4 linked regions of the Drosophila melanogaster genome follow. The protein of the gene in region 3 interacts with the protein of the main gene of each other region in a pairwise test. Each region holds a gene or a part of one and is shown on either strand. Other genes may lie near its edges.

Region 1 (7,949 bases), on a different chromosome or scaffold from region 3:
ATTAATAGAACTATAACTATATATCTGAATGAATAAGGAGTGCAGCGTACTTGTAGCCACCTTTTGGGTGATCACAAGCACACGATCATCTTCTTATTGGAGCAATCTACCAAGTGGTGTTCACTGTCTTGGACTTACCTCTCTCCACCGCCTCTGTGAATGCTTGCCGTATGGTGGCCATATTGAAGGCTGGATTAAATCTGCCGGAGGAAGAGGTTAAATGGGTTTATATGGGCATAATTCTAGGGATGTTTGCACTGCTGTTTAGGATCCTACCCATGCTCGGAGTTCATTGTGGCGACGAGAAACGTTGAATCACTTGTGTGGCAGCCTTTTTTTTGCTCCTTCTTTTACTGGTTCGTATTTTTATTTATATTTTTGTTATTATTATTATATTCTATTACGTCTGGTTTTGTTAACTATTTGCCGGCTTATGTGCTCTTCTGTTTTCTTTTTGTTGCTGTTGCGGCGGGGCAACAACACAAATTAGCGAAACGAAATAACGGTTTTTCCTCTGCAGATCTTCCGCGCACACACACCTGCACTCCCACACAAACGCACACACACGCGCGCACACACACACACAGGGAATAACAGCCGGCCGCTATTTTGTTGCACTTGCTCTCCTACTCTCTATCCTTCTCTCGCTTGCTCTCTTTCCAAGCTAATGGAATTGGAAAAAATAAGCTGAATAGTTTAAATAAAAGCAGGTACAATTACCGCTGACATAAAGTAGATCGCTGTTGTTATGAAACTGACATCTCAGATGCGTGCATGGGTGTGGGTGTGTGTGAGTTGGCTCAAACAAATACGTTTGATCTCTCTTTCTGGCCAAGGCAACAACAAATTACTGTGCTTTATTCACTTTAGTTTGGAGCGCAATGCAAATTGATTAAATGATTAATGCACACACACGCACACACATTAATAGAGACATTCATACGCGCGCAAAGGGTTTCCAATTGGAAAAGGAGAAGCAGTAAGCCCGAAAAATCCAACTTGTTTACTGATGTCCACTTAATATTTTATTAAGTGAACTGGGCAAAAAACGAAAACAGCTGCCAGCGATAGCATAACTGACATACATACATACATATCGATTGCATTAAAAAGTCATGAAATAACGTCACTCCTATATACCCTATAGTATATATTTAACACGTAGGGTTTTTTTCTTGCGAGCTTTCCTCGTTTGTTTTCAATGTGATTTTTCGCCTGCTAATTTATGCGATTCGCTGGAAGGCCTACACACACTTGCTCACGCACACACACACATATATACACTCATGCATGCCTTTTGGGCCAACAAGAAAAGGGCAGGAAAATCTATGGCACACTTTTCAACGGGCATTTCCGTTTTAACAAATTGGATGCATTCGCGCACTTGGCGGCGTTACGTTTTTTTTGTTAATGAATAATCAGGAAACACGTTAGCTTTTTTCAACTATAAAATTTAACAACGCGACAAAAACTAAAAAAAAAATTTCAACACACACGGCCCGTCGTCGCAAGTACACGCACACACCTTCGCTTTTAACTGGAATGATTCTGCAATTGAATAAATGCCTATTCTAGCACTGCATTTACGCTTTAGCACATGTTCGCTGGGCCAACTTGGCGCTGGTTAATCGCTATTTTAAACGCCACAAAATCAACGTAACAAGTAAAAAAAAATGTTTCGTCGAGAATATGTTGATGATGAGCGCAACAGTGGTAGTGGGTGCGAGCGAGAGCGCGATATTTACAAGCAGTGTGCGCAAAAGGCATTAACGCCTCGCGCTGATAGGCGTTAGCGCATTTGATGGCACAGTGGGTAGGTATTCAATGATTTATCAACCAAACAAATAGTTATACGGAAAATATCAAGACTGAGGCATAAATCATTACAAATTAATTGTGTTTATCTGAGAGATAAGTAACAGTTTGAGTTTAATATTCGTTCAGTTAATTTGATTGCCTTATCAAAGTAAAAGATGCACTTAATTATATTTCCATGGCATTGCATTCGAACCGCAACAACTCACATGGAATGCCAGTAGAGAAGGGGCAGTTTTACCAAAATAAAAGAGATAATAGGGGGACAATAAATTGCATTTACACAGGGTGATTCAACGATTTTCTTTTGCCACACCACAGCACAAATAAAAAAAAAATACCGCTATGCAGAGCGGTCAATGGACGGTCACACTGCGATAACGTCATTTTTGAAAAACACTTTCAAAAGTCTCATTTTCTAAAGATCGACTGGCGAATCTTTAAGGGTATGAACGAGCACCGGGCGGGATTTCATCTCACCTGCGATTGTTCTCCGGCGGCAGAACGCTCCAGTCCTGCTCGTAATACGGATACATGGTGGCTTCTCACTGGAGCACGGAACTAAACCGAATGGAATGGGAGCGGGAGCGCGTTCGGGTATGGGAATGGCAGCGATAAGCGGCGAGTGCTTCACATAGGCCTTATCTAATGTACACTAATAATTAACAGGTAACGCTCTTCTTTTCTCTAGCTCTGGCTCGAGGTCTAGCTATCTAGCCCTTGCTGGCGGCCGATCATTTCCAGTCCGAGCGGTGGAAACTCCTGCGGAAGACTGACGATTCCAGTGCCACTCACCAGGTGTTGTTTTTAGTTCATTTTCATTTTCCTCCGCCTTTGCTTTTTGGTGGCACACACAGCACTTATCTATCGGACTGATAATGGTAATAATAATGCTCCCCCCGCCGTGAGAACACCACAATCCCGTCTGTTTGCTGGTTGTTTCTTTCCGCGGTTCGGTGTCGTTCGGTTCGGATAAGCGGAGCCCCATTGACAACCGCCATATCGAGGTGTACTACGAGTGCAGTGCTGTTAGATAAAGAAGCGACTCTCCCGATTTTGGTGGACCTCGAATCGCCCACACACTTTGTGGCTAACGATTAACCATAACAGCTGCGAATGGATTCAGTTTTATTACATTTTTGGCATCCAAATACCCATGTATCTGGGTTATTAACAGAACAAAGTACTTCTTCAAATACATCTTCAAGTACTTCTGAATTTATAGTTCTTGCACTTAATTGGCTAATAAGCATTGCGTTCTTTGTTATTCTAACAATAGTATTTGTAATTCGTTGTCCTATGCAGAAGTCTCACAGCTTTCTAACATTGTTTTCCTCATTTTCTCAGCAGTAGTTAACCGAAAAGAAAGGTCTTTGCAAATAATGACAACGCATCTTTACAATTGGTATCTCGCAATCTCGTCTGGCTAATTACAAATAAGCGTTATCCTAAGCCCCTAACTTACAAAAGTACATGTCTAATTAAAGCCAGTGGAGGGCCGACTACCAGGCCCAGATGTCTTCTGCTTGATCTTCTAATCGTTTTCCCGCGGCGGCCGCACCACCGCATGTCGTTTGATGGCCTCCACCAGCCACTTAATGCCCTCGTCCACGCCCTCGCCGTGCAGCGCGGATACGGGAATGGTGAGGCAATCTCGCCGCCCGATTAAAGCACCCGCCTGCTGGAAAACTGGCTTGATCTCCCGCACGCCCATCACATCCGGCAGATCCTGTTTGTTGGCCAGGATTAGCAAAGGCACTCCGGACAGCAGTTCGTTCTTGATCATCTTGTCTGTGGGGAAAGAGAATAACACATTTTAGGTGAACCTTTTTCCTTTTACCAGAGATCATCAGAATAGATCAAAACGAGTTTTGTTCAAGGGATTAGTTCGAAGACTGTTTTCGCTTACCAAATATCGCTTTGGACTCTTCCATGCGCTCCCTGTCGTTGGAATCAATCACGTAGATGACGCCATGCGACTCCTGGTAGTACTTATCCCAGAGAGATTGCAGCTCCTGCTGGCCACCAAGATCCCAGAAGTTGAGGCGTACGCCCTGCACGTCGATGGTGCCGATGTTGAGGCCCACCGTCGTCGTGATCTTGCTCGGATTGAGGCCCTTATAGTTACGCGTAAACGTGGTCTTGGCGGCCTCCAGGTAAGTCTACGTGGGCACAGGTGTTAGTTTCCGATTGGACATGAGGCTTTCATTGGATGATTCAGCTGCCTACCGTTTTGCCAGCATTGTCCAGGCCCAGGATTACCACGCAGTAGTCGTCCTTCTGAGTCATGTATTTGTAGAAGCCGTGCATCAATGTGTACATTGTATTGTGTTTTTGGCCAACAAAAACAAAAACTTAAATTGTTGACTGAACTGCTAGCGATGGCACTGCCAGCGGCTAGGGCGATGCGATAGTATCGATCGGGCAAGTGTCACTTATATCTATCTAATTATTAGGGGGATGTCTATAAATTATATTTTTAAGTATTGCACAGTTCTGTTAAGGTAATAAAAATAAATTATTCAAATTTTCTCTGATTGCCCCTGATTTTTATAAACCATATTGTAGTATTTTGATAAGAACATTCGAAATAATGGTCCAAATATGGAATGTCATACCTCGTTAAGCTCGTAATAAAATTTCAAATCAAACTGTGTTCAAAAATGCAAATTCAATTTTTTGACCATTTTTTGCAAATTTTGATGATGTTTGATGACCATTACCAATCCACTACCGATTCGCGTTCAAATTTGGAAAAAGCTATCGCTTTGTTATTTCTACCAATTTGGTTTTCTTACGTCTTAAGAAAAACGCAATATATGCAATCCATCCCTAAAAGGGACCATACTCTATAGCATTTTCTTATTAGCAGTCTGGCAACCCTACACACCCGTACGCTTGTGTGTGTCCGTGTGCGTGCGTGTTTTTTTTTTCGACTTTTCCATTATAGTTTTTGTGGCTTGCATATTGAAAAGTGATTTCACATAAGAATTGATTCGCCACAAATAACAGATAAGCTATGTCGCTATCAAGCCTGCTGCCCACGCCGACGAACGCGATCTGGGATCGGGAGGACGAGCGTCGCCTGGTCGCCCGCGGAGCACCAAAGATCGGAGCCCTGGTCTCCGCCAAAATCGCTGCTCCGCCGTACGGACAGCGTAAGGATTGGGTACCACATACGGATGCGGACTTTGGCGATGGCGGCGCCTTCCCGGAGATCCATGTGGCGCAATATCCACTAGGTGGGTTCCCGTTCGTGCTAATCCCACTTTCTCTGTGCTTGCAAACAATGTTGTCGCGGTTTTTCGTTGGTAATGGTGTCCTCGTAAGGGAAATAACCATTAGCTTCTTATATGTGGGTGATTGTACAGCGAGAAGGCTTCAATTTCCACCACATTAAGTTAAACGTTTGCTGTAGAATGTTGTATTTTTGTATTTTATGATCAGCATTTTGAAGCGTGGCTTATTCAATTGAAACAATTTCTGCGTCTTCTTCATCTTCTCGACAGGTCTGGGAGCACCAGGAAATGTTGGCAAGAAGTCGGATGCTCTGGCCGTTCGCCTGGACGACAAGGGAAAGGTTAAATACGATGCCATAGCACGCCAAGGACATGGCAAGGACAAGATTGTGTACTCGTCCATTTCGCAACTGCTGCCGGCGGAGGTGTTGGCCGAAGATGCGGATGAACTACAGCGCCCGGACGAGGAAACGGTGATGGAGACGACGGAGGAGACGCGCCTGGCGCTGGAGAAGCTGACCAACCAGAAGATCACCTCAGCGCTGCCCGTGCGCCATGCCCAGAAGGCGGGTCCCGCCCAGTACATTCGGTACACGCCCTCGCAGCAGGGCGATACCTTCAATTCGGGCGCCAAGCAGCGTGTCATCCGGATGGTGGAGGCGCAGCTCGATCCGATGGAGCCGCCCAAGTTCCGCATTAACAAAAAGATTCCACGAGGTCCACCATCGCCGCCGGCACCTGTCCTCCACTCACCATCGCGCAAGGTGACGGTCAAGGAGCAAAAGGAGTGGAAGATCCCGCCCTGCATATCGAACTGGAAGAACGCCAAAGGTGCGAGCTAATGTAAAACTAGAATCCTCTTCATTATCCTAATTAAATCTTTGCCTCGATATCAGGTTACACCATTCCACTGGACAAGCGTCTGGCAGCCGATGGACGCGGTCTGCAGCAGGTGCACATCAACGAGAAGTTCGCCAAGATGGCCGAGGCGCTGTACATAGCCGATCGCAAGGCGCGCGAGGCGGTGGAGGCACGCTCCCAGCTGGAAAAGAAGCTGGCCCAAAAGGAGAAGGAGAAGAAGGAGGATATGCTGCGTATGATGGCGCAGCGGGCTCGCGAAGAGCGAGCGGGACTACGCAATCCGGAGGCAGCCGAGCCATCTGGTTCCGGAGCTACAGGATCCGAGGTGCGTGAACGCAACGACTTGCGGGCAGAGCGGCAAAGGGAGCGCCAGCGGGATAGAAACCTGCAGCGGGCGGCTCCCGAAAAGCGATCGAAACTGCAGAAGGAGAGGGAGCGTGACATTTCTGAGCAAATCGCTTTGGGTCTGCCCGCCAAGAGTGCCGGCAACGGTGAAACGCTCTTCGATCAGCGTCTATTCAACACCACCAAGGGCATGGACTCCGGTTACGGTGATGACGAAGCGTACAATGTGTACGACAAGCCGTGGCGCGATTCCAATACACTGGGCGCTCACATCTACCGACCCAGCAAGCAGGCGGATAGCGATAACTACGGCGGTGATCTGGATGCCATTGTAAATACCAAGCGTTTCGTGCCAGACAAGCAGTTCTCCGGTGCCTCCAAGGAGGCGGCCGCTGGCCAGAGGAGTGGACCCGTTGAGTTCGAGAAGGAGGAGGATCCCTTCGGTCTCGATCAGTTCTTGAACATGGCCAAAAAGGCGCCCAAGCGTGCCGAGGAGAAGAACAACGAGCGCAGCAGCCATTCGGATCGCAAGCGCAGCAAGCGCGATTAGACAAAAGCTTTAGCGTGAGGATTACCAATCATCGTTGTATCGTCATCATCATCATTGCAAACACTATTCACCATTCACCAACCAAACAAACGTTTTTTTTAACTACTCCAACAACTTGGCGAGAATTTCAATAATAATCACAGGATCTTGACATAAACATGAATGTGTAATTACGGGTTATTTGGCATAAGTGCGCTTGGAGGAACCTCAATCAGCACACATCCGATCCAGAATCACAGATTGGTCAGTGAAAGATCAGTGGTGTGACCACATACGGCGATGGTTTGATTGCTCTTCACGTGCGCATCCATGCGGGAGAAGGTATAAGCCGAGGGAGCAAGGATACTGGCTTCCGGATCTAGAATATAATACAAAATAAGCAATAGTATGATAGAAACTTTTAAAATATGATGACCATCTTTTTGGCGCCTATAATCAAAGAATAAAGTGACCCTCTTTTGCCAATAAGCTTTCTAGCGGACCTTTTTTGTAGTGTTATACCACTCCGTTGAATTCCGTTAAATTAATAGGAATGCAAATAATGTATTTAAGAAATAACCAATCCTAAGGTACTTGATTAAATGTAACAGTAATTGACTGTCACCCTGCCTACATATATTATTCCAAATTATGTTTTCTTAAACTTGCAAATTTGTTCACTACGCAAAATATAAATGAAAAACAGTATTTCGCCGGTATTTTTAGAGCAGCTTTATCGTCCGCACGCACGCTGGTCACACTGTGTGACATTGAGTTGACTTTAGTTGCATTAGTTTAATTGCAATTTTATTCGATTTATTCGCAAATAAGTGAGCAGCCCAACGTCGAAACTCGAACGGCAACGGTCCACACCGCCATCCGCCGCATCCCGGAGAGAATGCGCTGTCCTCGCGGCGAATTCCACGGATTCAACGGCTTCTAGCGGCCGCGAGGTGTTCCGAGGAGCTCTGGGATTCTAGCACCACCTCCTCCACTCCGCCGAACCACAACAAACGATCCACAGCGATCCCAACCGATCTGATATTATGTAAGTTGAGCGTGCCCGCGTCGTGGATGGTAAACAACAATCATATCATCGAAGGCACCCTATTCCATACGCCCAAGCAGCAGTAATCCCATATTATATAGCCCTCGCAGCT
Region 2 (7,696 bases), on a different chromosome or scaffold from region 3:
AGGATACGCATAACCAACAGCTTTAAAATCTACCCATTATAAATGGCTACTGGAAATCATTCGACAGCTGTTACTAAAATCTTGTATTGGTGTGAAAAAATATTTACTGATTAGTATTCTGTACTCATTAATATTTCGCCTTGACCAGTTGCATGTGGAAAATTCGAGTTGGCTGGCTATAAAAAGAGTTTTTCTTAAAAAGCACAGTGCTTATATATTCGGTAGCTCAAAAGAATGCTGCATACCAAAACTGGCTAATTGAATACGTTCCGAGCCCGAGTTACAGATGGTACAGAAAGTACCAGAGAGTGCCAGTTAGTGCTATTGGATGGGGGGGAGGGGCGGTCGTGTGTGGGGGATTGGGACAACTTAATTTACCGCTCGACCGGCAAGAGACAGCTTCTTCTTTTTCTGGTTCACATGTCTTCGTTTGTCTAAAAAAAAAAATTTCAAACGATTTTCTTCGGTGGTTTTCCACATTTTTGTGTGTGCAACGTAACACGTTTTCCAATTAAAATTACAAGAAAATTGTTTTTCTTTTTTCTGATTTTCTGGTTGTTATTGTTTTTGCTTACCTGTCACTGGCAAAAAGAAGAGCGTAATCCAGACAGAGAGCGAGAGAACGAGCGTGAGCGAGAGAGCAGCATCGTGCGAGAGAGAGAGCAAAAATCCTTGTGCTGGCACTTTTCTTTACAAATTTTCTTAATATATCCTTTTGTTGTTGCTTTCTTCTTGTTGTTGTTGGTGGCAGGCCAATGCAACAGGTAAAATAGAGAAAATATGGAAAAAAAACAGAACCAAAACAGAAACACCGAAAACGAAACAGGCAAAAGGGCAAACACAAAAACAAAAAAAATAAAGAAAACAAAACACAAACTTTGTCAGCACTTGAAAAAAAAATCGTTTTCGTTTCTAATTTTCTCTTTGTTGAACGCGCGCCATTTTTCTTCTTGCCTTTCTTCGAGAAGGTTTTTTCTTAAATAGACTCTTTTGTAATTATTTAAATTAAATTGCTGTTGTTTTTTTTTTTATTTTGCTGGCGAGAGCCGCGGTTTTCGAACTGCGACGGCGCGCCTTTGGAAACCAACTGAAAAAAAAAACACAGCAATCAGAGAGCGAGAGAGGATGAGAGAAAGAGCGAGAGAGAGAGCGGCGACGTCAGCGCGAGACACGTATGTCGTTTAAGTCTTTCGTTTTGGTCGTTCTTGTTCTTGCTGCTGCTGCGTTGGCGCAAGCGAGAGAGAGAGAGAGAGGGAGAGAGAGCTGAATTTCAGGTGTGGCAACCGGCAAAATCACAAAAAAAATCTTATTTTATCCAAGTACACAAGAGACAGAGCGAACGATGGAACGACACGGGGCGAAACATCATTATGACCTGTCCAGAACTTAATGAGAACAGAGTTTTACATATGAAGACTACTTGTTTCTGGTTTTTGCATATTGGTTTTCGGCCTATATATATATATGTAGCTTAGAGATATACTATGTATGCAAGGCAGAGCCTAAGAATATAACTCCATCAATCGGAATTGAAATAACTAATTAGAAGAATCAGAAAGCTAACAGAAGCACTTTTATCTATTCAAAACGAAAACGTAGTCATAATATCGTTGGAGTTTCATACCTTTTTACTACCAAATCGTTTGATTGTTAAATGGAACGCAATTTATTTTATTGTCTAATGTAAAAGATAAGTTATCAACAAATTACATTGATGGATAATCTTTGAAGTAACACGTGTCACAAGAAATGTGATTTAAAATATTAAAATAAAAATGAAATGAAATGACTTGAAACATTTAACATATATGCAGGTTCCTTTAATCACCCCACTACAGAAACTGGAAATTTTTGAATAATCCCAATAAAATTGATCTGTGAAAAGATCTCTTGTGGTTTGTAGATTCGTGGTAGATTTGTTATAGATTTGTAATAGTTTTAGGCGCATGGCATGGATCGGATTCTTGGCTCTGTTTCTTCTCTTCTTATCTCTCTCACTGGCTCTCTGTTGAAAATCGGGTCGCTGCTTAGTTATTCCGCACAGGTGTGAGTGTGTCTGTAGGTGTGTGCGTGATACCTGTTTGTCCGCACACACACACACACATACGTACACAAACAGAAGAAACAGTCATCATCATCGTCTAAGCCAAGTTGCCTCTTTTCACCTTTCCTTTGGCCATTCAATTCCGCTCTCGCTCTCCCTCTCGTCCCCTCTCTTTCGCGCCCGCCTTCATCGGGCGGGAGTGGGAGGGAGAGGGCTAATGTCGCAAGTAGCCGAGATTCGATTCTTCTTCTACGCTGCCTTTTGAGCTCGCTTCCTAATCCATTAACATTTCTCTATCCCTCTCTCCCTTTCTCCTACTCTCTTTCTCGCTCTGTCTCTTTAGCCCTGTCTTCTTCCTCTTCTTCGCCTTCTATGGGCTCGGATAATTCTTCTTCTATCTTCACCATTAAATGATGACGACGCACTCGCAAGAGAAGAAAAACCCAATAAAAAAAAAAAATAATAAATAAGTCCGACTTCAAAGACTTTTATTAAAATTCAATCAATCAATCGCAAAAATGACAGTTCGATCTTCGCAATGATGAATGGATGGTTTTGAATCTAAAATCTTTGCCTTATCACCCACACTCTCATAATTATTTATCTATTTAAATATGCCATCGTTCAAAAATTTCCATAAATATACATTTTATTATTCCGTTTTTAAATTTTTTTTATTTTACAAAAGTACGTACGTATATACGATTCTGTATTATCGTATTACCCTATATAAAATAGTCACATAAATACCTATATTTATGATTCATGATTTAAAAGTGAATTAAAACACGTTTTAGCAAAATGAAATCATCTTCAAGCAAGATCATACCGTGATTTTGTATACTTCTGAAGAAGAGATCTGATTAAAACGTCAGTGATAAAAGGGCTTATTCTAGACGCCGAAAACCCATCAAAATTGATGACCAATGTTGGTGACAGATAATTTCTTTGTGCGACGTTGGCCATATAAATAATGTGTGTATTTTTTATTTATTTACTTTTTTTTTGCCACGCTCAACGATCAGCAGCGACAACAATTTAGAAAATTAGTTGCACACTCAACGAAACTCGTTCCATTGGCTTTCTAACCGGCAATGAGGCAAGCAGATCAGCGGTACAGTTGGCGGGGCGGCTAAGGGGGCTTAATTTTTGTAAGCGGCCGGGGGGGGGGGGGTGTGTTGGTGTTTCGATGGGGGCTTACAAGGGGGTGGCGAGTGGGCCAACTCTCCCATTACATCTGCATATGTGGCATGCAATTGGATCTGCCTGGCATATTCCAGATTGCCATTCAATTCGATTTGTGTTGTGTGGAGTAAGCGAAAAGCGAAGGAAAAAACCGAGAGCCGACATGGTGAATTCTCGAGCGGGGTAACCAGTTAAAAATGGGAGCTAGAGCTGGCCTCCAGTTACTGGCGGGGGGGGCGATAACTGGCGTGGAATATCTTCGAAATTGCTCGATGTCTCGTATTCATATGCATTAACAACCGCTGCTTGCTAGAACTTGCGAATCTCTCAAGTTCCAGAAACCAACAATTTCATAGATATTATCACACCAGCTGGTTAACTTTTTTAACTGTTCCTATGTTAAATTACTAATCTATGTCAATTTGAAACCGTATTTGGGTATATTTAATATGCTGAACTGAAGACACTTCGTGAAATCTTTGAAAACTATTGTTTACTCTCAAGTTTACAGTTTTCAATGAAGTTATTATGCGTGTTTGAACTTGAACTATCATGCTGTCACTTCCGATTTCGTCAATTGTTTTCGTTACCAATTCATTTTTTTTTTTTTTTTTCGTTGGCAACACCTCTGGCCAATTTGCTCGCCTGGACTTTTCCAAGCCAGTCAAATTTGCACTCGAAGTGGAAAACTTTCGACTGTGAGTGTTTCGGTCGGTTGTTGTGGCAAATATATAAATTTGTGAAATTGTCAGTGCCACAAGCAGAGATGATTTACCGCCCCGGGGGCTATGCCAGCGACTCATTTATCAAGCAAAAAATAAAGAAACCCGAAAATGAAGAGAGTTCTAAGTTGCGACTGGGAAACTTTCACCGGGTGTCGTTTCAACGCGGTGCGGCAATAAAAGGGGGGAGGGGGGACCACATTTTTTTTTGCAACTCTCGCACTTGAGAATCTCGGCCGGGGAATGGGGGGAAATGCTAGCAAATCATATTTTTGGTGAGGGCGGGATTGGCGGTTGGGGGTGTGGGATTTAGTTGGTCTCAAAGTCTCTGGGCTTTATCCTGGCCAAGCCGAGTCATAAACAAATACGGTTTGCTGCTGTTTTGTTTACATTCGCAGTGTTTGGTGCCCACCGACCGACGTCTTTTGGCCAGGGGTCTTTTGGTCTCTTGGCCAGACTGGTTTTTCTCCGGCCAAAAAAGGAAGTTGCTCGTAAAGTGGCGAAAGCCGCCAACTGACTGACCCAACAACAAAGTGTGCAAAATAAAAATTGCAAGAAGAAAAATCGTTAAATAAAATAATAAAAGCGCTTTCTTTCTGTCTGCCCCTTTTGTTTTTTCTTTGTGTGTGTGTTGTGTGTTTGTTTTCTTTCTATAAATTTTTGCGGTCTGCGTTTCTTCGATTCAACTATTTTCCATATTTTTCTATTTGATATTTTGGCAATTTTGGCGATTTTCACTGATTGGTTTTTAATTTTTGCATTTTTCGGTTTCTGTTGGTGGCACAGCAAAAAAAAAAAAAAGGGAAGAAGATCGAAATATTTACCGCCGCACTCACTCGAAAAAAAAACTCGTAACACTCAATTGGAATTTAATCGGCAGGTTGGCCTTTCTTTCTTTCTTTCTATCTTTCAGTTTACTGTTGTTGTCGGCTCCGATATTCTTGTCACTCTGTTCTGGCTGCCCACACGCTGGACGTATCTGTTGTGGGCCTGGGATTCGGGTTCGGATCAGAGTCACTATCGCACTGTCACTACAGTTGGTTACTTATTAGCCGCGCTGGCTGACCGTTCACGACGACGCTCCGCGAGCGACTGACCAGCGGATGCTAGCGCAGCCCACTCGCCGCCCAACCAAAACCGAAGGCATCGAACCTTCGAACCATCGAACCATCGAACATGTTGCGTTGCAGCCGCTACTCACAGGCAGTGCGACTTCAAACAGAGGCGCCGCTTTCGAGAGCGAAAGAATTGCATTGGTATGCTCATGACTGCCCAAGGAGCTTGCTTCATCATCAAACCAATTCATTATTATTATTTAGTTCTTATTATTGAGATTATTGTACATACTTAATAGCAAGTAATAGTTCTACTAAAATGCTAGCTTCATTTTATTTGAGAACTCCGCAGCTTCGGAGTGCACATTTCTTTGTTCTCTGCTCTGCGTTTAAGTTCTAATACTATTTAGTTACGCTGCAATTCCTAATAGCCCCCATCTACACCTCTGATGCAACATCGATTCCATGGCAAGGCTATGTTCGAGCGTGCAACATGCAGCATGTTGTGTTTTCATTCGAACAATTGTTGCTGCCACAGTGCGTGTTGGTGGTTCTAATTGACAGTTTTCCAGAACAACTTGTTGAGCTTATTGTTGTCTTAATGGGGTGCTTATCTACACCTGCCACCCCCCCCCCTCCCAGACTTTTGCTTGCCTCGCGGATTATTGGAGGACAATTCCACCCCCCCCCCCCCCCACGTCACACTCTTACACTCTCTCTATCTCACTCTCTGTCCGGGTAAATTGACGATTTGAATATTTACATAAACGATTCTGATTACAATTGAATTTATTATTTAGAGCAGCTACTTAAGCCGCTAAGTCGTTGGGTACATAGGACATACATACATACATACATACATGCATATGTGTATTCATTTGTCGGCTGTCGCTTGACAAATGATACCTTTTCATGGAACTTTTATTTGTTTATTTTGCTTTCTGGAAGGCACAATCTGCGGCACGCCGAGAATATTGAGTAAACACACAATTGCTGCTTGCCACGTGCAACGTGCTCGATGCTGGCAGCGAACGCGGTTCGAGTTGCAAGCCCCTTCAACAGGTTGCCAGGTTGCTCTACGAAAATAATGTAAGCTCCTTTACAAGTCCGTACGAAAATTAATTCAATACTCGGCTAAAAATAAACGCACTTGTTCTCAAGTACAAGCTTACACTCACACACATATGAAACGGAACCTAAGTAAATCCCATTGTTTTGGTTTTAGAACTGAGCAGGAGAATTTTGAAGAAGTTCTTCAATATTTACTCCCAAGAATTCGAGTGTATCCAAACTATTCGAATAGGGCCTTCTTCCGCGAAAAAAATCGCTTTAATTGCAGAGCAAGTCAGTCACCAGCCAAATGAACAGCTGTTTCGGCTCCTAAAAACTTTTGCCTGACCGCCTGCTGGCCGTTCCGCATTCTTGGAAGCGGAATTGAACAATTTGAGATTTTCGAAGGGGAAAAGCTGTTTCGCCTATCAGGTGGCCAAGTAGAAAGATATATACATTTCCAATCCAGTGCTGCGGAGACATCACCGAACGCTCTACGAGCTATAGGAAAATTCTCTATTGCGTCTTAATGGATTCACAAAACATTCTCGTTTAGACATATTTCGCAGTGAAAGGTGATAGGGCCAAGAAAAACAATTGGCCGAAACCGAAATGCGAAGTAAACTTTTCATGCACAAAAACCAAAGCGTGCAATTCTTATATTTATATTTACCCAGAGATTCTCGCGCGTTTTATGACGAGGGTCATTTGGGGAAAGCGTGACCCGGCCGAAAATAAACAAAATAAATTTATTAACCATCTCCAAAGTTTAAACAGCCGTAGAGCATGTTCTCGAGTGGGGGGCAGTGCGCCAAGGTTGCACACTTGATCGCAATTCAAATAAATGACTGGCTTACACAAATTATATGCGAACTTATTAACTTAAGCCAATACATCAAAATATGTTTAAATATTATATCAAAAATAATAAAGTTTTTATTTCAAGAAATTCCCCACCAACCATAACATTTCCTAAGTTATTTATTGAATAATCAGAAACCACGTAGATATTAACTATACGTACTAATCGTGTTGTTAATCTCGAAATTGGTTTAACTATTGTTCCGGATATGTAACTGGATGCAACGGATATGATATAAGGTAAATTATTTGGGTGAGCCCAAGTGCATGTGAGTAATTGGAAAAGTTTGACACGTTAACACGACACAAGTTGGTTAACTGATGTTATATTTTTTCAACAAGCTATTTTCCACGTAACCCAGGGGAAAAATAACCTTTGCTTAGCAAAAAAAACGGAAATCCGTTTAAAAATAAAGCTTAAACGACCACAGCTTTTAGCCAGCATTTCACTCTGGTTTATTGGTTTAAGCCAAAATAAACCTATAATATCGACTTTTAACAGCTTCAAAAAGCTAACACTTTTAAGCTTTAAGCTTTTGCAGAAAGCAGTGTTACTGTGACTTGGGAAAGTGACCGTTAAAAGCTTTTCTATTTCCTTCAACAACTTCTGTTAAGCCAAAAGAGCTTTTCCGAAAAATGTTACACCAATGTTAATGTAAGGAAATCGTTTTCTTTATTTAATCATTGTATTCTTAAGTCTACTGTAAGTAATCGTTTTAATTAGTAATTTTAATTTCTGTTGTGGATTCCATTCCGCGTCTCCTGCGTTTTTGCTTTCT
Region 3 (7,595 bases):
GACTCGAATACGTTCAGAGTTTTAAGTTAACTGAGGAAATAAATAATCATATCAGACCAAAATAGAGTATGTTTTTTGGAGGTTCTTATATTTTATTTTTAAGTTTAAAGTTGACTTTGTGCTGTTACTTTGATGTTGATGTTGATCATTCGTATGACAGTTGCAAAGTGACACAATCTTGGCGTTTATGATCCTTATCATATATTCAGCAAATAGAATTTTTTTAGACGGTTAGCTAGACAATTTTACTACCGGATTAGCTTTTCGTACTTGTCTGTCCAAGCGGCTTTTGCAATCTTCCGGTGAAGAGTTGATGTTATTTTCCATCACTGACTTGAAAACAATACTTAATTTTGGGTTACTTTTTTTGTATTTTTAGGAGTACTGCGACCACGTCACTACTTTGTGGAACGATGTGGGTATTCGCGCCTGCTATGATCGCTCAAATGAGTTTCCCCTGCTGGATAGTGCGAAATAGTAAGTATCTAATTGGATTGATTCAAAATCAGATTTCTTTCCCATTTATTCAAAAAAAAACCTTACTAAAGTTTGAATTTTTTTTTACCCCAGCTTCCTGGACAACTTTGTGCGGATCAGCGATGCTGAATACATACCCAGCACCGAGGACATTCTGCACAGCCGTAAGATCACCACCGGCATCTCGCAAATCACCTTCCGCGTACCCATTCCCAAGAGCATGGGTGGTGGCGAACAGCAGTTCCAAATGTACGATGTGGGTGGCCAAAGGGATCAGCGGAATAAGTGGATTCAGGTATTCGAAGGCATACAGGCCGTATTGTTCCTGATCTCGTGCAGCGAGTTCGATCAGAATCTGCGCGAGGATCCCAGCCAGAATCGTTTGCAGGAGGCTCTGAAGTTGTTCAGAGCCGTGTGGCAGAATCGTTTCCTCGCCTCCGCCGGATTGATCGTGTTCCTCAACAAGTACGACATCATGGAGCGAAAGATTCGGGCCGGCAAGCACATTGTGGACTACTTTCCCGAATACGAGGACTTCTGCAAGAGGCCGCAGCAGGACAATTGCTTTGGCGAGAGTGACTGGACGAAGATGTTCATCAAACAGAAGCTGGTGGATATCACACAGGAGCCGTTCAAGCGACACTCACGGAATCAGGTGGATCTGGGTACCTCGGAAAGGGAGTGCTACTACCACTTCACCGTCGCCACGGATACGCGATGCATCCGTGATGTCTTCTGCGATGTCCAGAAGATGATCCTCTCGGAGAACGTGTCCAGCATGGGCCTATTCTAGTCCAGATCCCGTTGCGGATCGGAGAGCTTCTCAATAAAGTTAAGGGAGGGCTGTCCTCAGGCCCCCACCAACTGTGATCTAGTAGGATATGACTTACATAAGTAGCCATGTAAGACCGTAGATCGTAGTGGCAACCGTATGTTGCACAATGGCTGGTACAACGCTTTAATATATTTAACTGCATTGGGTGTAGAGGAAGAATCCTCATACCGAATGCTCTCACTACTCCTTCAACCAATGTCTAAACTCTAATAGAATATAGCATCTACAATAAACCAAAACACACCCAGACAATTTGAGAATGAGTTTTAAATATTTTTGCACCCAAAGTTTGGGTATTTGGGTCCCATGCAACACAAAGTGTAGCATACTTCAAAGGGCACACACGCTTTGAGCGATCTGATGTTGCCATAGGAAAGGAAAAGAAACCATAGTTGTTTTACTTTTGATCAAAATAGTTTCCCATTCGGAATACACCATTCTACTCTTTATACAAGAATATATAAGCTTCGTATTAAAACATTTTAAAATATAAAAAACATATTGAAAGGCAAAAAGTCATAGTGATCTTTTACAAAATATGCGCTTCTTATTCAAATTAAAAAAAAAGCTTATTCCACTTAAATGCCGTTTATCGATCAGAGCGTTATATTTTGTACGGTCGGTCTTAAATTTAAATGATGGAATCCACATAGTTCTTTACCATCGCTTAACTAATAGCCAAGTTACACACCAATGAGCTGTGGTCCTTACCTAATACCCATTACTCGTAAAGTGATATGGTATTTAAGTTTTGTGTCTACGTATGCAACACGAACAAAGAATCGTTACTTTCAACCAAATCAAAAAGTTAAATAAAGATCGATCATCGTTTTAACTTTTACCAGCTTACGTTCTCCCCAAACATTTTAACGATTCATGTCGGTATAACCATAAAACAAAAATATTCCTGTATAACTCGCGATACTGTTTAATAATTTGGGCATACAAATGCATCTTGCTACGCTTAACCAAAGACACTAGTGGCTTAACTGTTCCTTGCAACATAAGTAAGTTTGACTAGTACCCAATAGGAGTGGAACCAGTGTGCATAGAGCTCCACCCGCACGCAGCTAGATGTGACCGCACGCGAGCCGCAGAAAAATACCGCGATGGCAAAAGTACCAGCGCCATGATTGGTACTAAAATATCTCCTATATATAAGTATAGCGATAAAGCAGCCGAACCGCCAGCTAAACGTTCAGTTCGCTTTGCGCCGGCAAATTCGATAGTTTTTTGAGTTTGCTGAACCGAGTCGCTGGGGCAGAAGTGTGTGACAGCCAGCCGTGTGTGTTGTGATCCAGCCAATTGATACTGCGATAAGAGGCGGCGAGCAAATGTAATTACCTCATAGACATCAGCGTTCGAAAATAGTAACCGTGTTTTCTGTGATATCTGTGTGAGTGCGTGTTCTCGTTGATGTTTTGCGGTGGTTTGGTTTCCTCCTTATTTTGCGCCCCTTTTTTCTCATCCGATGCTGCGAGAGAGAACGAAAGAGAGGAGAGGCAAAAACATATTTCCCAGACATTTGCTGATTTAACCGAGAACTTTATCGATTCAGCAGGAACCAGAATACGAATGGAAAAAATTCGGCAAAGATCGCGTGTTTTTGCGTGAGAGCAAAGTTAGGGCGAGGAGGGGCAGTTTGTTTTTCGGAAACATAAAAACCGCTAGGAGCATCGAAAAAATTTCACTAGAAATTTTTGAAAGCGCTCGCGCAAAAAACCGGATATGTTACTCAAAAAGAAACAACAGAAAAAGCTTCCAAATCAAACCAAAGCGAAGCTTATGGCAAAACGAAATCACCTGTGTGTGCGAGAGTGAGTGAGAGTGCGTAAAAGTGTGAGCGCGTCGAGTGTGTGTATGATTAGTCGCGTGTCTGGCATGCAATTAGGCATTCAAACTAATTTCCCTCCCACCGGCAAGTTGCCCTGTCTCATTTGTATTTTGCTGGGTTTCGCTGTTTGCTTATGCATTCCTTCAAGTTCTTTTAATTCGCACGAGACTTTCGTGGGCAGAGAAAAAGAGGAAGAGAGAGCGCGCCAGACTGGCGCTCTCTGTAAACTACCACAATTACACTTTCCGTTACAGCCACCCCCTCACTCATGTGCTCCCAGAACACTGTGAGAAAAGTGATGTAATAACGGGGTAGCTTACAGGACTCAGAGTGTCCCTGGATTCAGCTATTAGTATTGTGATTTCAAGATATAAAAGTAGAATGTTAAAAAAAACCAAACTCGGAGACTCCAAATGTATTTAATTTGTAGTTTTAGTGTAGTTTTTCGGCTAGAGATTTTGGGGATCTTAAAATTCTCACATTTAAATTAAATATTTAAAATAAAACTCATGCACATTTAACTAAACTTAATTATTAATGTCAAGATTTTACCTCCGATTGACGAGCAATGTTTCTCTTTGTGTATCAAGTTGTTTGTGTATCCATTTAAGCTTCAGCACGAGGTGTGAAAAGTGTGAAAAGCGGAAGAATGTAGATGAAGATAACCACAAAGCGTGCGCCATTCATGAAAGCGTTGCACATCCCTTGCAGAGTGAGCAAGAGCGGGAAGGTGTTTGAAGGGGTGTGAGAGGGAAGAAAGATTGAGTAAGAGAGAGCCATGGACCAACGGTGTTTTTTTTGTTGCCTGGCAAAATCAATGAAATGGATGAATGAGAGGAGGAGTGGTGTGGGACGAAGGGGAAAGGAAGGTCGCCGAGAAATTTATGCGACAAAACGCGGGCTTTTTATGTGCCTGATTGTGTGTGTGTGTGTGTGAGAGAGCGCGTGTGAGTTTTGATAAGGGGGAGTGGTGCGGAATTTTTACTGAATTAAGCTTTAAACATCGTCGTGTAAAATCCCCATTACTTAGGAAACAGATAAGATACTGCAATCAGTAAAAAAAACTAAAAACATTCGACTCGAAGATAAATTGTAGTTTTAATAATTAAAGAATGTTCCCATAAGTTAAAAAATTATATTCAAAGTGTTTTCCTTTTTGTGTGCCTATTTTAAAAGTACGTAATGTATAAAAAAACAAAGTCATACAGAGCAAAATGAGAAAATTTAAACCGTCCTAGTTCATTGGGTACTTTCAGTATATTATTTTATTTATTCAAATAAAACAGCTGTATAGCTCGATGTATATTTAAATTAGTTTTTAATCAGCAGAAGCTAAAACCTATTGTTAATATTAAATTAATATTAATTTAATAAAATCGTTCTGGTGTACGAATAGCTATTTCTAATACGAATAGCTATATTCCTTAACAAAGTTGTACAAGATCTTTGACAAGATAGTTCTGAGTACATTAACTAATCTATCTCTACTTTCTTGTCAATCCACAGCTGCATATAACCCAAGTAACATAGCCACCAACTCAAACACATAAAGCCCACCAAAATGATCAACATGGACATTAGCGTTACGCCCAATTACTCGTACATCTTCGACTTCGAGAACGATTTCATACACCAGCGGACGCGCAAATGGATGCTAGAGAACTGGACATGGGTGTTCTACTACTGCGGCATCTACATGCTGGTCATCTTCGGTGGTCAGCACTTTATGCAAAATCGGCCTAGGTGAGTCTGCCACACTGAACTGAACTATGTGAACTAAAGCAGTTTTGCGATTAAAAAACATGTGTTCTTTGGTGGCTTAGATAGACAATTCAGTGAAATAACGGTTGGGTTAAGAACTTGCGCCCTTTGGCCTTGGAAAATTATTAGCTGGCGGCCGGGGAGCGGCGTTAATTACACCCACAAGTGCACACGCCCCTTGCAGTCGGTAGAAACAACTTTGCTGTTTATCGAAACCAATCCCTGGAAACCCCTATATTGACTCAGTCGCGCTTTGTTTCGGTTTATTCTCCGGAAAGACTGGAGTCCAAGTGTACATTTGTTATTAGCCCAGACAGCTGTTGAGTTCCACGTGTAATTATATTAAATTACGGCTAATCAAACACTAATGTTGTAGGTGAATCCTCAACTCGGGCTCAAATAGCCAACAATTCGCATTCGCACCTGAGCACGCACTATTCAGGTGTATTTTCCGATGGCTAAAGACCTATTTGATTGGGTATTTTAACAATTTTTCCAACAGTCAGCGCTGTTTGTCCCCTCCTTGTTACCTGATTTACCTGTGGTGGATCCAATTGGCGGCTATTCGTGCTGGCAATTGTCTCGTTTCGATTCGCTTCGTTTTTGCCTATGATACTGTGTTTGCCTTCCTGCTTCTAATTGTCGTCATCGGGCTTTGTGGCCAAATTAAGTTGGGCTCGTGACATGCCATTTAGACAGTATTTTTGCAAGATCATAATTCAGTTTTGTCACCTGGTTTGGAGCTGTTTATAGCCTTGCTAAGGCCACTGTGAAATTCGGTAGAAAGTTGCTACCGTCTAACAGAAAAGTTTATTATTGTCCAACTGGGGAAAACGGGCTATATAAGTTCCTTCTGAGTATCTTTCGAAACATACGTCTTTGTATTCTAAAAAATGTTAGCTAGATAAGTCTATTTGATGTGGCTTTCCTAACCCTGAATTCCACATCATGATTCAATTGCTTGCATAATGTAATGTGGAGTAGCGATTCCTGCCCACACTCCGACCCAAAGCCATTGGGTTTTTGGATGAGTTATATAGGGGCTTGGCCCTGGGTTGCTTGGCGATTCTCTACGCGGACACTCGTCGGGGGATCTGTCGGTTAATTTTTCACTTTATTGTTGTTGGCTTTGCCTTACACTTGGCTTTTTCGGAATGTCATTTCAATATTTGCCCACATGGAGGAGAGTCGGCTAAGCAAATGGACGTATGTACTTGGTACAGAAAGGTGTGAATTTAGTGAAAATGCAGGCGTTTCTTTCGAACTGTTGGGGTTAAAAAACTGACAAGGTAAGGATGAATTGGGCAAATTAAAACGGATTGATTTCCGCTTGCTCAGCATGGCTACTTAACTTCTTGAATACTCAAACACATGCATGAATATTCAATATTTGACGTTTTCCAAACCATGCCATGTTTAAGAATCTCTAATTAGCAACCACGGTTCTGAACAGCGTGTCAAAATTAATCGCAAACTTTGAAAGAATGCAAATGCACCTGACCGCATGCCACCGACTGTACATTTACATATTTAGAGAGTGGACTTCCCGCTTGCATTCCACCTCATCTTTCATGAATTTAATTTTTGAATTTCTGTTTTGTTTCACTCGTTTCGGACAGTGCGCCATTAAAGTCATTAAACTGATTAGGTTTATAGGTACACGCCATGTCGTACTCGTTTCATTTCAAATGCCCAACGGACAAAGTTTTCCACGGCGACCATGTGGCACGTATGTATGTACATATGTGCTTGTGTGTCATGCAAGAAGTGGGTGTGTCCACGCAGACGGGGTTGTGGGTAGTAGTCCTGGACGGAACTCCAACAGGACACTTTGACATGTAGCCGCTCTATAGGTCCACTTCAATTGGACACTGGTACACTGGACCACCTGATTGCGTTTACAATATTTACCAGCACTTTAAAGTGATTTTTGCTTTTTTTTATAGTTAAAAAGTAAACAAGAGGTCGAAGCCTTTGGAGAATTTTAATATTTCAGTTTTTAGTATCCATAACGTATTGCGTATTACAGTTGACATCTCCTTAAATGGTTAAAGATTAAATATGCCTAATAAAATTAGCTTATAAGCACTCTACAAAGAATCTATAAAATATAAGTTGCAAAGCCTTAATGGTCCATAAAGTAAGATATTCAAATGATGTAATATGCGTGAAAAACAAGTTCCTGTTGGCCAGTGTAGCTTTGGCGTGCGCAAATGTTTTGTGACCATATAAGGAGGAGGGTTCATAAGGGGGCGATATGAGATGGGGTGGGCAACGTGTGTGGGGACCCCAGTGGTTAAAATAGAAATCTGAAGCAGCGAATAATGTATGTATGTGTTTGCAGAGGAGCACGATGACCGATAATTGTAATCATTTAAATTTTAAAGCGATTGAGTCATTCAGTTGCTTTGGTTTCTCGCTATTATTCATGTTGTTCCGAGCAAATTGCATTATTTATATCACAACAACTGGAAATAGTGTGTCGAGGACAAATGAGTACAGAGTACAGAGGACCTAGGATCTAGGTCCACCCTCGCTCGAAATAATAATGTCCTTTAATGTGGATTCTCTCACCACGCACAGTGTCCTTAAATGGTTGGAAAAATGTTGTTTGGCGTGTGTGTTGCTACGGGGAAATTTTTTTTTTTGCAATTGAAGCGTGGCAATTGCATAACATTTACATTTGCG
Region 4 (7,556 bases), on a different chromosome or scaffold from region 3:
TGGAAGAGATTCACGCAGGAGTTCCACAGGGAAGTGTTCTTGGGCCCTTCCTGTACACCCTGTACACTGCCGACCTGCCATCTCCCGCCAACAACACCGAAGTCTCCCCGGATCAGCTGCTCCTGGCCACGATGACACCGCCATGCTGGCGTCTCATCCTGTACTGTAAACTGCCTCCAACGCAGTCCAGGAATGGCTGTATGTAGTCGAAAAATGGACTGCCAAATGGAATGTGGCCATTAACTCCTCGAAGTCAGCCTGCGAACTTTTACCCTGTGGCCCGGAACTTTTTGATGGAAACTCCATCATCAATGTCACATCGCACTACCTAGGAGTTCATCTAGATCGGAGACTGACCTGGAGGGCCCACATCACGTCGGTCAAATTTTAGTCACTGGCGAAGCTAAAAAAGCTCGACTGGCTCTTCCACTCCAGCAAACTACAAGTGAGCTCTAAGGCTCTTTTAATCAAAGCCATACTTGCTCCAACGTGGAGTTATGCCATCCAGGTGTGGGGAACTGCCGCCAAATCCCAGCTCAATAGGCTCCGTGTCGTCTAGTCGAGAGCTGCACGTCGTGCTTTTGGGCTCCCCTGGTACGTGACAAACAAGGTAATCGAAAGAGATCTGAAAGTTACCCCTCTTGGGGATCAGATTAATTTTCACAGCAGCCGTTATGCCGACAGGCTTATGGTCCACCCGAACCGACTAGCAAATAGCCTATCTAATCCCATCTCCCTCCGAAGGCTGAAGAGGGTACACCCCACCGATCTCCCTACACCCTTACACAATAAGTAATTAATAACTAGATACATTTTCCCTTTTGTACTTAATAATTAAGAAACCACTTGGTCTAATATACCTTTATACACACATAAGGTTAAGTTCAGAGGAATTGACCGAACGATTCCTTTTGGAACCAAAATAAATAGAATGAAGTTTAAAAAAAAAAAAATATATTGTTATATATATACAAAATTGGAGGGAAAAAGTCTCTTTAAAGACACTTCATGTTCCACCTGTTTCCAATTTATCCTGTTTTATCGACCCTTTAATGATCTCAGAATTCCATGTCTGACTTCTGTCTCAAAAAATAGTAGCCAACAATAAAAAATGAGATTGAGACAAACCTGTTGATATGCGTTGGGACCATTTTATTTATTATATTATATGTATGTTACATTGTTAAATTGCGTTTGGAAAAATGCCTACATAATACTTTGACACTCCTTTCGGTCGTTCTTATATTATTCTAGCCTGAGATGGTTTCATACATCAAAAGTGAAGTCTTTAGTTTTTATAGTTGTATTCAAATATTTTTGGGCGCCACTGATTACATAGGACAACTTAAATAACTAATTTTTTCTGAATCACAAGAACAGACATTATTTGCCGTCTCTAACATAGTTAAGCGTTTTTTTTTAAACTATATTATATTAAGGCTCACAGAGCAAAAAATGTGAAATAGTATAAGCAACTTACAAGTAAATGCGAAAGAATTGACGTGCGGTCAGCTTCTTGTTGCATATTGGGCACTTGTGCGTAGCTCTGATGGCTGTTTCGATGCATTCGCGGCAGAAGACGTGTCCACATTTGGTTGACACTGGCTCGCGCTTCGATACACTGTCCATGCAGATGGGGCACTTGTATAACTCCTCTTTTTGGGACTCATCAATGTCGCGATTAACGCGTTTTGGTGGCGACGCAACGTCGAGATCCACTACCGGGTCATTTTCGGCTGACCGACGTGGCAGAATGGTGAGGGAGTCGTTGGAGTGAAGATTCACTGTGCGACTTCTTGGGCCTTCGGGGGTGCATAGATCGATGAAAGCATCGGGATCACGATTCCGAGCGGATCGAACAGGTGGTGCACGGTCCAAATGGGACAGATCTATCACTTCTACTGGACTCGCTACGGAAAAAGTAAGAAACGGTATTCGGTTTATTGCTAGCTCTATCCGCGAAAGCTATCTGGTTTTCACAAAATTTTAAAAAATATAGATAAATTTTGCCTTCAAAAGTAAGTAACCCGGCAGGGTTATAGAAAGAACTATGTCATTGGTTATTGTGGAATTAAAAACATTGTTCATTGTGAAACCCAGATGCGTTCATTTTGATCTGCACTTACTTCTGCGGCGAATTCTACGAGTTGTTGGCGTTGAGGTTCTCGTGGCGAAGGTGTCAATCTGTGCCACAACTTCCTCGCAGTAGCGATTCACTGAAATATGAAACAATTAACAGAAAACTTCGTAATGATTATGGAGTGACATACTGCGATCCAACTCTGCTTCCATCTGGATCACATCCTGGGTAAGTGATCTGATCTGCGAATGAGCATCTTCAGTCGAGACAGACAAGTTAGCCATATTTAAGGGGTTATTGCTTTGCGGTGACTGCAGTTGGTTTGAAGCTTCTCCGACTGAAGATTCGCTGGTATTGGTGGCTGAAGATGAGTCTGATTCCACAGATAAATCACGCTCCACTGGGGATGGGCGTTCCAAGGACGAATGGGAATCAGCGGATGAATCAGATTCCGCGGATGACTGAGATTCCACGGATGTATTGTGTCCCGAATTGGATTCTATGGATGAATGGGAGTCCACAGAAGAGTCGGATACACTGGAATTGGAGCTCGAACTGGATACGTTGCTGTCCGCTGACTGATCAAGAATGGATGAGTTCTACTAAATAAATCAATCATAAATCGGAATTAACTAGTTTAAAGTCCAGGGTATACTTACAAAACGGAAAATAGTCGAATCTGACATTGTTCGAGCAACAAATGACCAGGAAACTTGTGAAATGATTTCGTAGTAAAGACAAAAGCAGGTGAACCCAGATATACATGTGCTTTAGTGCAGATTGAAATGTGCAAAATAGTTTCCTCCTTTCACGCGACCATTCGGTTATTTTAAAGATGACACTTTACGGACATTCGGGAACAAGGATTTAAGATCGACTATCGATTTTTGCGGTATTATACAATGCTGTTTAGAATGACACTTGTAATTCAATAAAAATCAATAATTTATTAAAAATAAAATTTCCGTTTCGGCGAAATTCTTTGATAACAAAATAATTATAAGAAATGTATATAAATATGTCGACATTACAAAACCATACCATCACTATGTAAACGATATTTTTTAGGCGATTAAATGCCATCGATATATACCGTGCCGTGGTAGTGTTAGAAAATTGCGGGAATTAACGTTAAATGCACGTCACCAAAGCAGAATAATAGAATATTTTCGAAACAAAACAAAGTTGGAGACATGGACAAGGATGCGTTTACATTACAGGCCATACGGCAGGACCTTATCGATAACAATCTGCAGGCTAAGGCAATAATACACGTAAGTCTCCGCTATCTGAAGAGAAACCCTCATTACCGAGCTTCTGTTTTTAGGACATCCTGAACAGCCGCACCTCCATCGCCGAACTCGAGGAGCTGAACGAAGCGGGCCGCTCCAAACTGTCTGCTATCCGCAAAAGCATCGAGCGGCTGGACGACTGGGCGCGGGACACGGCAGACTCTGCGCTGGCCAATGAAGTGGACGACCACCGTGATCAGTTCTCCAAAACGCTGCAGGCGTTCCGAAAAGCAAACGTGTCCACGATGCTGGAGATCGAGAAGGCCAATCGGGAGGAGTTAATGGCCATTACCGGCGAGAGTGAGCTACGCCAACGAACCACAACACGGGCGCGGCACAACCAGGGCAGTCTGGTTTCGCAGGAGAACGACGTGACCGAGAAGATGCTGGCTATATCGCGGCACCTCTCGGAGACCACCCAGAAGAGCGCCATCACCCTGGAAACGCTCGTGGCCTCGTCGCAAAATGTGGAGGCCACCAGCGACGAACTGCACCACACGGCCGGCAGCATTAGCATGTCCGGCAAGCTGCTCAAAAAGTACGGACGACGCGAGTGCACTGACAAAATGCTGCTCTTCTTCGCCTTCTCCTTGTTCCTCGCCTGTGTCTTTTACATCGTCCAAAAGCGACTCTTCTAAGACTCCACAAATGGACAAAACCCGTTCCCAAAATAGCTTAAGGTTGTCGCTTCTGTTGTCTAGGTATAGCTAGATTAAGCTTAGCACATGACCATACCTTGTAAGCACAGCTCCTATATTTATATTATTTAGTGATTTGCCTAAGTTGTAAACGTGGTACAGCCAAAGACCCTAGAATAACAAGATGCGTAACGCCATACGATTTTTTGGCACACGATTTTTTGGCCGTGGCTCTAGAGGTGGCTCCAGGCTCTCTCGAATTTTTGTTAGAGAGCGAGAGAGCGAAGAGCGCTACAGCGAACAGCTCTTTTCAACGCACAAAGTGATAGCAGACATCTGTATGTGTGCACACGTATTCACATGCATTGTAAATTTGACAAAATATGCCCTTCACCTTAGAAGTTCTTTGGCTTTAAATCTATATTATTTTTTATCAATTGGCACCATGCGAAAAATTCTTGTTTTGCATTGCCTTAACGTTATTATTATTTGAAAATAGATTAGAAATAGTCAAATCTATGTACATATTATCACAAAAATAAATTTCAAAAATGAATTTATATAAGAATATTTGTCATTAGAGTATTCATCTTGCGGCGTGTGAAAAATTAATAAGGCAATGATTGTTGAGTGCTTGTGTCCGCACTTCGTGCCTCAAGATATGAACAAAGCAAAGACACTAGAATAATTCTATTGTCTTTGATATTACTTTTGCAATTTAATTTAATTGCATATTTAATTATTTAGTATATTTATTAAATCATTTGACTTAATATGATGTAACATTAACATTAAAAGTGTTTCAAAAAAAATATTTCGGTTTTAAAAAATTGTCAGATGAGAGACAAATTAGAATTAAACATAAATACAAATGTGTAAACGGTAGCTAATTCGAGCGGCGATTTTAACAAAGAAATTTAAAAAAGCTTTAAAATTATAATAGCCAGGGCGCGAATTTTTAAAAATTTTTTATTTTATCATATTGCTAGGAAATTGGCAAAAACTACCCTAATATGTACCATGTAAATTCGTTTCTTCGATCAGAATTGATTTCGGCCCGAAAATCGTCTTCTAGCACAACACGCACACTTATACGCGTTCTCGTCTCTTGTTTTTACTCACACAAGCAAGCAAATTATATTTTTAGATTTCTTACGCTCTAAGCGGGAGTGAGCGGAAAGAGAGTAATTTTGGCCGTCACCAAAAAAGTGGCTGCATAGTGCCAAACCAATGTATGGCCGTTACGCATCTTGTTATTCTAGTGTCTTTGGTACAGCCTAGTATAGTATGGTAAATGCAATTTATTTTTATTTAGAATATATGAGTGTTGTATATGTAGATAAAAATGTTAAGCAAGTTAGTAAGGGCACCTAGGCACTCCTCCGGGGTTTGTGAATCCGTTGGTGTTGACCAACCTGCAGATGTCCTTGTATGACCGCGCCGATTTTGCAGGCCTTTCTGGCTGTGGCTGGGAATAACCTCTGTTGTAATAGTCAGGATAGAACTGGAACCAAGAAGGCCTGTGGTAGTTGTAGTCGGGAAAAAATTCTTTAAGCACAGAGCTGCTGCAGAATCTGCTTAGCCCCAGAATCCACAGCAGAATGTATATAATCGACTTGCGCATGGCCACTTCGCCTGAGCTTAAGATTTGGAATAAAGCCGTACCCGATTCTCATTGTATACGCCTGGCGCACTTATGAAGCTTGTGCGACCTCGCACACAGTGGGAAAGTAATTGGAATCTGAAATCTATGCGTGATTGTCGGAATAGCTGATAGCGGGAGTGTTCGCGTGCCCCAGCTCAATGCTATCGTTATCTACAAACCATTCGGCCTTTAAATTGATGTATGATGAAAGTTTATTCAATGTGTGGTTTTTGACGTTTAATAAGAAAAATTCGATTTTGAGAAATGCATTTAAAATGCAATTTTTATTTATCGCAGTGAAGAATAAAATAATATATTTTTTCATTATATTTGTTACCAATTTAACAAAAATATTATGTAGTTGCTTTTTTAAAAGTCTTTCGGGTCAATAAGAAAAAAAAAGCTTACAAACAGAGTATTATGTTCTAAGGAATAGGACCTAAAAACCCTCATTACCTAATTGGTGTTTCAAAAACAGGTTTATGTGGTGCAAAAGGACAAATTTTGCTAACAAAAAAAAAAAAACACTTTTTTAAAAAAACTAACTTACAGGCGCCTAAAAAAAATTATAATCGATTTGTCATCGATTTTTTGGTCTTTAAAGTACTATAGCGGCGCATTATATACTAACCAAAACGAGTTGGCAGCACTCGTGATGTTTTGATTGAAAAAACAAATTAGTTTATTGTTTTTATCTGTTGTCGCCAAAAATATTATTTAAATCAATATGAGCACCGCCGTAGAAGTGGCTAACACGGCTCCGGAGAAGTTGGCCAACTACTTTGCGCTACAGTCGGCGTTTGAGGTAAAACGTTGATGAATGGCCCCGAAACCGGCAATGTTCCGATCTGATAGAAAATAATAATTTTCAGAAAGCCCTTGAATTGGCCATCACCGACGGCAAAGTGGAGCTGTTGGTCAAGGAGTACAATAGATTCCCGGCCAACACCGAGCACGACAAGCGCTTACCCATGGACCACGCGTTCCGCGTGCTCCTGATGAAGCGGCTGGACGAAGATGTGAGTCGCATTGGAGAGCTTGTACGCCTCTCCGTGGAAGCCACGCGGGCCGAGATTGTGTCCAACACCATACCCGTGGTTCTGCTGATCGACACCTTCGACGTGGTCACTCTGGACAAGTGCCAGAAGATATTTCAGTTTGTCGAGGATATGGTGGAGGTGTGGAAGGAGGAGATCTTCTTTTCCTCATGCAAGAACAACATTCTACGCATGTGCAACGACCTGCTGCGTCGACTTTCGCGCACCCAGAACACCGTCTTCTGTGGCCGCATCCAGCTTTTCCTCTCAAAGTTCTTTCCCTTTTCGGAGCGGTCTGGCCTCAACATCGTCTCCGAATTCAACCTGGACAACTTTACGGAGTACGGTCTGGACAGCAAAGACCACGACGAAAGCGACAACAAGGAGCTGGAGGATACCGCTGAGGACATCCCCCTAAAGATCGACTACGACCTGTACTGCAAGTTTTGGTCGCTGCAGGACTTTTTCCGAAATCCCAACCAGTGTTACAATAAGCCGCAGTGGAAGATGTTCCAGATGGTAAGCAGTGGCTTGGCACAATTACAATTGTAGAATATATATATATCTTGGAAAGAGATCAAAGATGTTTGCCAGCTAGCTTGCTCATAAATATTGGTTATTAATAATCCTGCCCCATGTTGGTTCATATTCATATATTGTTACTTTCCCCTTCCAGCACGCTGACAACATACTACAGTCCTTCTCGAGCTTCAAGCTGGAAGACGTGCGCCAAAGTAGCAACGAAAATGCGAGCGGTACTGACCAAGCAATGGATGTGGACGAGGAGGCAGTAGACACCACGGCGGTGTCTTCCGTCATCAAGGCGAATCACTTCTTCGCCAAGTTTCTAACCAATCCCAAGCT

The links.
Region 1: the proteins of Baldspot (region 3) and Bx42 interact in a two-hybrid assay, tested with the Drosophila melanogaster proteins (one large-scale study listed by BioGRID).
Region 2: the proteins of Baldspot (region 3) and mgl interact in a two-hybrid assay, tested with the Drosophila melanogaster proteins (one large-scale study listed by BioGRID).
Region 4: the proteins of Baldspot (region 3) and Sec20 interact in a two-hybrid assay, tested with the Drosophila melanogaster proteins (one large-scale study listed by BioGRID).

Annotation. Positions count from the first base shown.
Region 1 is NC_004354.4:9,103,333-9,111,281, reverse strand, and holds Bx42 (Bx42), read left to right. Parts: upstream 1-4,677; 5' UTR 4,678-4,834; coding exon 4,835-5,057; intron 5,058-5,324; coding exon 5,325-5,885; intron 5,886-5,950; coding exon 5,951-6,810; 3' UTR 6,811-7,412; downstream 7,413-7,949. Other genes in the region: AP-1gamma (adaptor protein complex 1, gamma subunit), read right to left, coding at 139-200, 2,296-2,351; Arfrp1 (ADP-ribosylation factor related protein 1), read right to left, coding at 3,350-3,606, 3,725-3,977, 4,045-4,137. UniProt on the Drosophila melanogaster protein: May play a role in chromatin structure and function.
Region 2 is NC_004354.4:9,495,099-9,502,794, forward strand, and holds the start of mgl (megalin), read right to left. Parts: upstream 5,032-7,696; 5' UTR 4,776-5,031; intron 1,092-4,775; exon of another isoform or gene 878-1,091; intron 802-877; exon of another isoform or gene 576-801; intron 1-575.
Region 3 is NT_037436.4:16,656,524-16,664,118, reverse strand, and holds the start of Baldspot (baldspot), read left to right. Parts: upstream 1-2,503; 5' UTR 2,504-2,648; exon of another isoform or gene 2,649-2,708; intron 2,709-4,652; 5' UTR 4,653-4,707; coding exon 4,708-4,889; intron 4,890-7,595. Other genes in the region: Galphaf (G protein alpha subunit f), read left to right, coding at 380-477, 571-1,270. UniProt on the Drosophila melanogaster protein: Catalyzes the first and rate-limiting reaction of the four reactions that constitute the long-chain fatty acids elongation cycle. This process allows the addition of 2 carbons to the chain of long- and very long-chain fatty acids (VLCFAs) per cycle.
Region 4 is NT_033777.3:5,820,159-5,827,714, reverse strand, and holds Sec20 (secretory 20), read left to right. Parts: upstream 1-3,210; 5' UTR 3,211-3,273; coding exon 3,274-3,354; intron 3,355-3,407; coding exon 3,408-4,010; 3' UTR 4,011-5,367; coding exon of another isoform or gene 5,368-5,634; 3' UTR 5,635-5,689; downstream 5,690-7,556. Other genes in the region: dgrn (degringolade), read right to left, coding at 1,477-1,910, 2,127-2,216, 2,271-2,679, 2,740-2,766; CG46303 (uncharacterized protein), read right to left, coding at 5,368-5,634; Hpr1, read left to right, coding at 6,383-6,460, 6,528-7,211, 7,369-7,556.